Linked DNA regions of Saccharomyces cerevisiae S288C. Changing the gene in region 1 together with any one later gene gives a genetic interaction. Each region holds a gene or a part of one and is shown in the gene's direction. Other genes may lie near its edges.

Region 1 (2,451 bases):
AAGATAAAGCCATCTATCAAAAATGATATTGAAATATTTGAAAAATGCTTGTTTTTATGGGGACCACAATTCGCCTGTACCTCTAGAAGCGTAAACTGTTTTATTGAAGTTAGTCCTGATAATTTCTCTACCGTTTTCGCTTTCTTCCTTAGTGCCATTTTTTAGCATCATATTATTGAATTTTTCACTTTCTCTAAATGATTTATCATTCATGTCCTTGGACAAGATTGAATCTACATCAACAATTGAACAGGAAGGAATATTGCATTGCATGGCCATTTCCCGGATTTGAGGATCTTCACTAATTAAAAACCAATGTAGCCCCTCATTTCCTTCTAGGTAGCATTTGTAAATACAACTTTTCAACAAATTCTTTAATCTCTTAGGCAATTTTGCAATATTAATCTTTCCAGAACTATCATTATGTTCCATTACATCTGACCATAAAATAATGTCTAAAACTTCGGGAAATTCGATAAAAACTTTCAAATTAGCAAATTTAGAATCATCTAATCTATCGATAAACTTCAAGGATTCTCGAGCTGCAAAACTTTTACGCCTTTGTTGAAGGAAATCCAATTCATTTAATGTGAATGTTGGAATATAAAAGTTCAAAGTCACAGCTTCTGTACAGTCCGAGCACCACCTCTTGATGTTGCCTAGACCCTTTTCAAAAGCTGAAGCATCTATAATGAAATTATATTGTGTCATTAACCTGCTTTTTGAGGAGACCAAAATTGGAAAGAAAGAAGGTGCTTATATTTCACGAATGAATGATATTAGCAGGTGTAATATTCTTCTATAACACCACTACACTAACTTTTAAATTAAAGCGCTCTTCATTGTTACTTCAAATCAATTTCTGAGATTATGAAAGTCGTCACGTTTTACGAAGGTATTGAATTTTTCAGGTTCTTTTGGAAAATAGTAGTATACATCAGTTTATTAACGATGAGATGGTATTATTACTTGCACCTTTTGTAAAGATAACTAGTATTCATAAAGTCCATAAGCTACAATATGCCTCAAAAACCACTTAAAGTTACTAAGAAAGCCAAGGACCCCCGTAGGGTCACAAAGAAACAAAAAAATTTGAGAAAAGCTGCCCCATTGCAATTGAAATCAAAAAAGAAATCTTTGCAACATCTGAAGAAATTGAAAAAGAGCTCTTCCCTTACCGAAACCACTGAAAGATTAGTTGCGAGTAAAGTCGGGCATTTGGAGTTGTTGAGAGGTACTAGAAAGGAGTTGGAAAAAGGTAAGAAGAACTCTAAATGATTTCAAGTGAATAAGATTCGCCCATCATTGAAAGGTATTTATTTTCGGGTAAGGACTATCTAGGTACATCTCATCAAATTTTTTATAGTCCAATTTGATCCTAGTGTTTGTATATTAGCTTTGTAACTTCTAAGTTATCCAATAGAAAAAATGCGTTGCTTTTTTGTTTCCCGCGAGAAATTTAACAATATGGTGAATTAAGTGTTGATGCCACAGTTTGTAAAAAAAATCGACACAGGTTTGCTATTTAAGCAGACGTAAGTGTTGTAAAATTATGTATTCCCAGTTTGGCCAGAAGAGGAGTAAATATCGCATATTTATAGAATAAGTACAACATCAAATAATGTCTGCCTTTGTTACTAAAGCTGAAGAGATGATCAAATCTCATCCATATTTCCAGTTATCCGCCAGCTGGTGCCCCGACTGCGTCTATGCTAATTCCATTTGGAATAAGTTGAATGTACAGGACAAAGTTTTCGTTTTTGATATTGGTTCACTTCCAAGAAACGAACAGGAAAAATGGAGAATTGCGTTCCAAAAAGTTGTTGGTAGCAGAAACTTACCAACGATAGTTGTCAATGGTAAATTCTGGGGTACTGAGAGTCAATTGCATAGATTTGAAGCAAAAGGCACTCTTGAGGAGGAATTGACTAAAATCGGGCTTCTGCCTTGAACAGGTTGGATATTTTTATATTAATATGTACGTAATATGTCTGGAATATTTCGAAAACACGGGTAAGCAAATAAAGGCCTCCCATTCTTCCTTCTATAGAAGCGTGAGCGCTTCCTCATTAACCTCTTCTTTAGCAGTCCATATGTAAAGATATCCAAGAGATTGTTCCCATAAAACGTTGACGCTAAGCACCTTCATCAGTGTCATATAGAAAGACAGCGCTCCAAGCACCATTTCCGTTTTCTTTCATTTTGGAATGGTTAAATAATGACTATCTATGATAGTTTAAAAATACCAATATCATAGAAGATGAAAGTCAAATATATGACTAAAAATTTAGGTGAAAAATGTAATTTAATGTATACCTTTCATTTACAAAATGTCAAAGACTTTACACAGTCTCCGCGTCAAATTATCACATGAATGTACAATCACTTTTCTGACTGCTCTAAGCTATGTCATTGCGATGCAGAATTTCACTGCCGCATAGACAATTTTGT
Region 2 (7,371 bases), on another chromosome or scaffold:
CAGTGATTCTTTCGGTTTCATTAAGATGTAAAGTGACTGATTAGTATATTAGTCAAGATTAATATTTTTTTTTTTAGTTCCTCCAGTTCAAAAAAATTTTGTTAGATTTAACCGGCATAAGGTTCAGCGATACAGACGAAAAAAGAAGCCTCTAAATGAATGGGAAATTATATATACATGTATATTATGCAGTTGATATTCTATGAGATGACAATACTAAACTATATACCTATATACATTGCCCATCTTGGATTTTGCTGCCTTACAGATGACAATATAAGTTATTTAGAGATTGAGGGTTACTAGTGCATAATATTTGCGTGATTTCCGAAAGTACCTCTGAAGGTCCCATGTTGTACACCAAATATTATAAAACAGTCTATTTTACGCAAAAATTTTAATCACATACGTGCTAGCAAAAAGCATTTTCTGATGTTCACTTGGTGATTGACATACCAGCTTCGTATTTGTCAACGTGTTTTTTTAAATCGATAAGCGTATTGATTTTTTTCAAAAGCTCCTCTTGTCTTTCCATTACATCAAATGAGGGCATCACAGGGCGAGAAGGTAACGATAATTCTTGAAGAATGGCGAGAATTTTGTTCTGCAGCGCAGGTTTGAAGGTCGATAATTTTGTAGATCTTAAGTATACACCCGGCGATAGCTTCTCACCATGCGTAATCACACCTAAAGCCTTCCTTTCATCTGAATTGAAATCTTTCAGCAATTGTTCTGCATATGCGCTTTCTGACTTTCTTTTGAGCGCCGTTTGCATTTCCTGTCTTTGTCTTTTGGTTTTCTTGGGGGAGAGATTTTCCTTGACTTCTGACTTTTTTACATTCAGTTGTTGAAGTTGCCTATGTTGGGCAAACTGCTGTTGCTGCTTCATCCAAGGATTTTCAGGGATGTTCAAATCGTGCTTCCGCTTTCTAGTTTTATCTGCTAGAAGCGCGTTATATAACTGAGACATTCCCTGAGAGGTAAGGTATTGTGTAATTGTCTGATCTGAATGTGGCGAGTCCAACAGTCGGAGTAATGATTCTCTTTCTGCAAGTGTTCTCTTGGCAGCCATTTCAAATTTTTTGGACTCTACTACGAGTGCCTCTTCTTCAGCAATTTCTGCTGCAGAACGAGAAAGAAGACGCTGTAAATACTTTTTTCTCTCTATCTCCTTTTCAGCTGAAAAATTCAAAGAAGATAAAAGCGGATTGCTAGGATCACTTGCTTTAAAATAATTCCTACAGGTGTAATAAAATTTTTCTTTGAGATCTTCAAGTGTTCTTGAATTATTATAACTGTATCTGTCAAAGATCAGGAACCAACGTAAATCGTATTTTTTGCAGAGATTGAACAGGTATTCTATTTCTTCAAAAGACCAGCTATTTTTACTTTCATCCTTCTTTTCATTAGTAAAGTTTTCGTTATGGTTTTTTTCACTTTCTACGCTTTTTTGAGTTCCTTCGTTTTCATTCATAAAAGCCTCGTACTCCTCCTTGGTGAATGATGGAATAGATAAATGCTGATTGAACTTAGAATATGGCGATTCTTTTGGTGTGTCTCCTATTAATTCTTTGGAACCCTTGACCCAATGACGCAGAGTCACAGAGTTATTAGCTTTGAACTCTACAAATGACCAAGGAGATGGCTTGGACGTCGAAAGCATTTTTTCTTTAAAGTTATTTCCAGACTTAATAACAACGGGGGGTTGGTTCTCTCCTAGCAGGTTAAATAGTTCTCTTTGCATGCCCGTCACTTGAGGCTTGGGCCGGTTGGCTGCCGAGGACGAAGGCACTGATACCTGGCCATTAGTTGGACTTCTGGATTTTTGCTTAATGTTTAGTACATCAAAGATGTCTGATGATGACATATTACCTGTGGTTTTTTTACTAAATTTTCGTATTATCGGAGAAATATGTTATGAATGCTTGTTGCTATTAAAATACAAAGTGGATTCTTGATTTATCACTAAATAGCTACCCGGAGTTGGCGCATCGCAACTTCATTAAATAAGTTCGAGTGTGCGTATTCTAATCTGATTCATATAAAGTATACTCTAAACGGGCTAACTCAAATCTGAAATTAGGGCTACTATATGATAACTAATAAGAAAATAAAGATAAGTGTCCCAGAAAAACTCGGTTTGTCAGAAGAATCTTTTGAGGAATCCTGGGAAACAGTTAAATATGCCATTGATCATATATACAGCGATGACATGGCCGACCTTTCCTTCGAACAAGTGTACAAGACCATTTATACTATCGTTTTAAATAAAAAGGGGCCAATACTTTATAACAGATTGAAAGATTATTTAATCCAAAAATTAGCGCTTTTGAGGGAAACGATAGTCAAGGACAATACTCATGATTATGAGTTTCTTGGAACTATGGCACGGTTATGGGAGGTGCAATGCCATTGTTTTAAAATAACGGGAGACTTAATGATGTATATGGACAAAGTTTATTGCAAACCAAATAGATGCATGGAGGTATACGACATGTGCCTCGATCTTTTCCGAATCGAAATATTGCAAAAATGCTCATCTTCTCTCATCTCAGCACTGATATCTGATATAGAAAGGATTCGTAATTTAGGATCTGTCGACTCCGAACATACTAGTTTGTGGAAAGTACTAATAGGAATGATGGAGACATTACATGACAATAGAGATAGTTTTTTCTTAACCGATTTTGAGCCGGTTTTGATTAGCGCGACAGAAGAATACTACAATAAAGCTATTGATATTGAATTATTAACGCCAATTGAGAGCCTGGAAAAGATTAGGAAGTTAAGGCAGTTTGAAAGTATGCTAGACTCCTCTTTTCTAAATGTGGATTCTCATAATAAGTTGAAGACTGTATTAGAAAATGTCCTTATATGGGGAAAGTTGAGTGATATTATTGAAGATCTAACGCACGAAGCAATGGTAATTTCAAATGGAAAGCTACTCCAAGAAATTTATGACTTGTCAAGCGAGGAAAAATATCGCGTTACTGTCATTGAATCTATTAAATCTTACATCAATAAAAATGCCATAAATATTCCTTTTAATGAAGGTAACCGCAAAAAAGGGCAGAATGCGATTACTTGGTCTTCGGAAATTGTAGAGCTATATCGCAGTCAACACTCGTTTTTGGAAAGTATTGATTTTGGTTCTGTTCGTCTTAATAATTTGACCGGGGATGTATCTAATGCAATACTTGGCGATGTTTTCTCAATGTATTTCTCTAAAGAAGGAGCATTACCATCTGAGTATCTTTCTACCTACGTGGACCATTGTATGAAACGAACCAAGGAAAAAGATGCTGAAATAGTGAAGATCAAGCAAGATTTGCTTGATAGTACCAAATTAATCGGACTCCTAACTGAGAAGGATATATTTGAAAAGATTTACAAAAAACAACTCTCCAGAAGATTACTGCAGCAGAGGTCTTTAGTGGAAATTGAAAAATGGATGGTGCAAATGATAAAGAAGGTTCTAGGAACTTTTTTTACCTCAAAATTGGAGATAATGCTGCGAGATATATCTTTATCCTCTGAAATGTATCAAGCATTCCAACACTCAACAATCAACAGCATAGAATATTTGAGTTTTGCACCACAAGTTTTGACGAGAACGAGCTGGCCCTTTCAGAGTACTAATCCAATTGATGAAGGTATTTCACTACCTCCTAGAATGTCACAAATTTTAGCTGGCTTTGAGGGCTATTACAGCTTAAAATACAAAGAAAGAGTGCTAAAGTGGGCTCATCATCTAAGTGTAATTGAAATTGGCTGCCAATTTAATAGCGGTTACTACGAAATAAGTTTTTCTGTTTACGCTGGAGTGATTTTCCTTCTATTTGAAGATTATGAAGAATTAACGTTGGGGGAAATATATGAACTAACTCATATTCCCATAGATGACGTTAAGTCTCTTGTAATGTCAATGTCGACAATACCCAGATGTAAGATTTTGAAAAAATCATCCAGTTCAGGAAATATGAAATTTTCAGTTAATTATTTCTTTTCTTCTCCAAACAGGAAAGTGAAAGTGCCGGTTATTGCATGCCCTCTACCATCTCAGAAATCAGATAATTTGGCAACCGCAAGTTCCGTGGACACTTATGATAATGAAATTGTTATGGAGCTTAGTGCTATTATTGTTCGTATCATGAAAACAGAAGGTAAGCTAAGCCATCAGCAATTACTTGAAAGAACTACGAAACGGACACAGTCTCGGCTCAGTCTTACACCGAGCATTTTGAAACGAAGCATTCAGCTTTTAATAGAGAAAGAATACATCCAGAGAAACGCAGATGACCCCTCTTATTACCATTACCTTTCCTAATTGCTTATAATGAAAATCACAGGTATAAGGTTTGCAGAATGCCAACAGTATATATAGATGGCAGTTCCTATCCGGCTGCCAGAGCGAACAATATTAAGAGGATATGCGTCGATACTAATTGAATGTTCATCCTGCATTCCTTAGTGAAACTTTCAAAATATATAATAACATAGTTATGGTAGACTATATATCCCAGTCAAACTTGAATGTAATGTGGAGTGGGTAATCGATATCTCTTGAAGTTTATTATGCCTCATTATATTTTTATAAAAAACTTCTAGGAATTTGTTGAGTCAAATAATTTCTTTCTTAATCATTAAGTAAGTTAAAGTTACGAGCCTTTCAGACCTGCGTAGCACTGCTTCAAAGGAACTATTATCAATAGCAGCGCCTTGCTCTTTTTTTTTTTTCAGATGCTTAGCGGCCGTATTTCACTTTTCCTGGTAGAAAAATATATGTTGAAATTTACGGTATAAGAGAAGCTCACCAAAATTATTATCAATAAAGCGGCACTTTTAAATTTGGTATTCTTCCCTGGTTGTCAAGCCTTGGTTTCCCTTTATTTGATAGTATGAGCGAAATAAATAATGAAAATCTAGAGCCAACCTCAAGTACAGTAGCTGAGTCTACAGAAAGCAAGAATAAACACATTCGTAGCGCTTTAAGAAAACGAAGAGGTAAATTAAGCGCCCAAACTTATGAGGAAGATCAAGAGGCTATTTTATCATCTCCTTTATTGACTTCAACACCTAAAACAGTCTCCAGGTCATTAGTGAGGTTATACCCATATTTAATTGTTGTGGATAACTTTCTAAGTATCATCACTTGGTCCAATGACAATGTCTCTGCAAACTTGCTTGGAATATTCTTATTTACGGTTTGTGTTCTATATTTTGGATTTATTACAAGGTATTTTGGACATTTAATGATCGTTGGTATAATATGGGTATATCTTTTAATTGACAAGCACGTTCAAGAAACAATGGCATCTTGCCCTTCATTGGATGATATAATACACGTTATGGATAGGGTTTCTATGAAATCTAGCGCTGTGTTATCTCCTATTACGATTTTGAGCGCTCAGGATGTTAGAAGACTGTTATTTACCATTGCCTTCCTATCCCCAGTTTATATTTTTCTAACAGTGTTTGTGCTATCTCCAAACTATTTAATGTTAATAGGGGGTCTGTATGTGCTTACGTACCATTCTAAACTAATCCGAAGAATGAGAAGATACTTGTGGAAATTTCGCGTTGTTAGATTACTTGTATTTTTCATAACAGGATTAGACCTTGGTGGACCAGATAATAATAGGCGCTTGTTTGCTTCTGTCAATAAGAAAATAAGGTCCTTTGTTTGGAATGAGGTAGGGAACACATCTAACACTAAAAAGACTGTACTTTTCAAGGTTGCTCTGTTTGAAAACCAGCGCCGCTGGCTTGGCATCGGATGGACATCAACTATGTTGAGTTATGAGCGCGCATCTTGGACAGATGAATTCCTAAATACTTCTCCAAGCCCAGAAGTGTTTACTTTACCAGAGGAGCAGTCGGGAATGGCTTGGGAATGGCACGATAAAGATTGGATGCTTGACCTAACAAATGATGGGATCATTCAACTTCCTGCTTCTGCTGCTAAGACAAAAGTTAAGCCAGGTGCAGATGAAGGTTTCATATATTATGATAACACCTGGAATAATCCCTCTGCAACGGACACATATAAAAAGTACACAAGAAGAAGGAGGTGGATCAGGACTGCAACAGTAACAACAACGTATGACGATGAGCCCACTGTAGAAAAAGCTACACCGAATTCTCATGCTCTGAAGAGTGAAGAAAATAATAGAGTTAGAAAAAGAAAAGTGTCATTTAGTACAGCAAATGAAGTGCATATCATACCTTCCTCGGACAGTAGCAAATTAATACAAATATCTGATGTTTCAATGTCTCCTTCTCTATAATGAGTGCATGCCCCATATGGACAACAACGTTCACACTGGTCGGTGCAAGGGCACACAGCAATCTCAGAGTTTCTTTCATTGGCTGCATGGAGCACAAATTCAATCTTGTGCTTTAAAGTATCTGCGCGGTTATGGCAAGTTCTCCATCAGTCTCTTATTCCAGCAAGCATTCTTTTACGGAACTTCAATGCATCTAAATACATATGTACAGATAGCCAAAACTAATAGAGACATAATAAATTAAACAAAACTGTAAATTTTAAAAAGAGTATATATAGGGCTCAAGAAACTGCGTAAATATAAAATTAATGAAGAAAATCTGATTGTCAACTAAACGACATCTTCCATTTCTATTTCATCTTCCAAGTCAGCCTCCGCGTCTCCTTGCGCATTGTCTCCAGCGGAACCTGTTTGCTCATCAGCTAGTTCACCTAAGGTTGCCTTTCTCTCCTCCTCTTTCAACTTTTTATACTCTGGCCTTAAAGTGTATTTGAATGCATATGGGCCCTTCTTCACTAGAGTGGCAACTTTATCCAAACACTCCTTTAAATGTGCTTCAGGTTGCCTAGTACGTTCCTTCAACCCCTTCAAGGACCAGTAGTCATACTCATCAAATAACTTGAACAAGTAATCCAAGATTTCCTTCTTTGGCATACGAATAGATTTAATATTGCTCTTGGCCTTCTCACGCCCCACTTTCAAGAAATTCGAGTTGTCTGACCTCATGGACATACCTGTGTGGCTCATCGTAACACCAACGGTTTCATCCAAAGTTGTGATCCTTTCCTTATTATTAAGCTTGACAATATTTCTTCTCTGTTCAACAATCTTGTGATAATTAGGATCATTCATTGATGGCATAACCTGACATTCGTGGCAAACTGTACCCACAATGGCGGTTTTTTTGGGAATCGTCTTCACATATGGTATATATCTATCTCTACCATCCCTATCTGTCATAACTCTGTGATTAAACTTTTTTCTATTATTTCTACGTTTTTGCTGCTGCTGCTTCTTCTTAAGTTCCTCTTCACGTTCTTGCTTCTTCAGGTAAGCTTGCCTTTGCTTTTCAGGATCTGCTTCC

Evidence for each region. A genetic interaction does not mean that the proteins touch.
Region 2: mutations in GRX8 (region 1) and CUL3 together harm fitness more than expected from each alone (negative genetic interaction), as found in Saccharomyces cerevisiae (one large-scale study listed by BioGRID).

What each region holds. Positions count from the first base shown.
Region 1 is NC_001144.5:852,441-854,891, forward strand, and holds GRX8 (glutathione-disulfide reductase GRX8), read left to right. Parts: upstream 1-1,621; coding exon 1,622-1,951; downstream 1,952-2,451. Other genes in the region: NMD4 (Nmd4p), read right to left, coding at 55-711; YLR363W-A (uncharacterized protein), read left to right, coding at 1,021-1,278. UniProt on the Saccharomyces cerevisiae protein: Glutathione-dependent oxidoreductase with lower activity compared to the other members of the glutaredoxin family.
Region 2 is NC_001139.9:498,040-505,410, forward strand, and holds CUL3 (cullin CUL3), read left to right. Parts: upstream 1-2,092; coding exon 2,093-4,327; downstream 4,328-7,371. Other genes in the region: SWC4 (Swc4p), read right to left, coding at 437-1,867; PEX31 (peroxisome biogenesis protein), read left to right, coding at 4,899-6,287; transcription factor IIF subunit TFG2, read right to left, coding at 6,618-7,371. UniProt on the Saccharomyces cerevisiae protein: As part of the CRL3 E3 ubiquitin ligase complex; polyubiquitylates monoubiquitylated RNA polymerase II subunit RPO21 to trigger its proteolysis; plays a role in global genomic repair.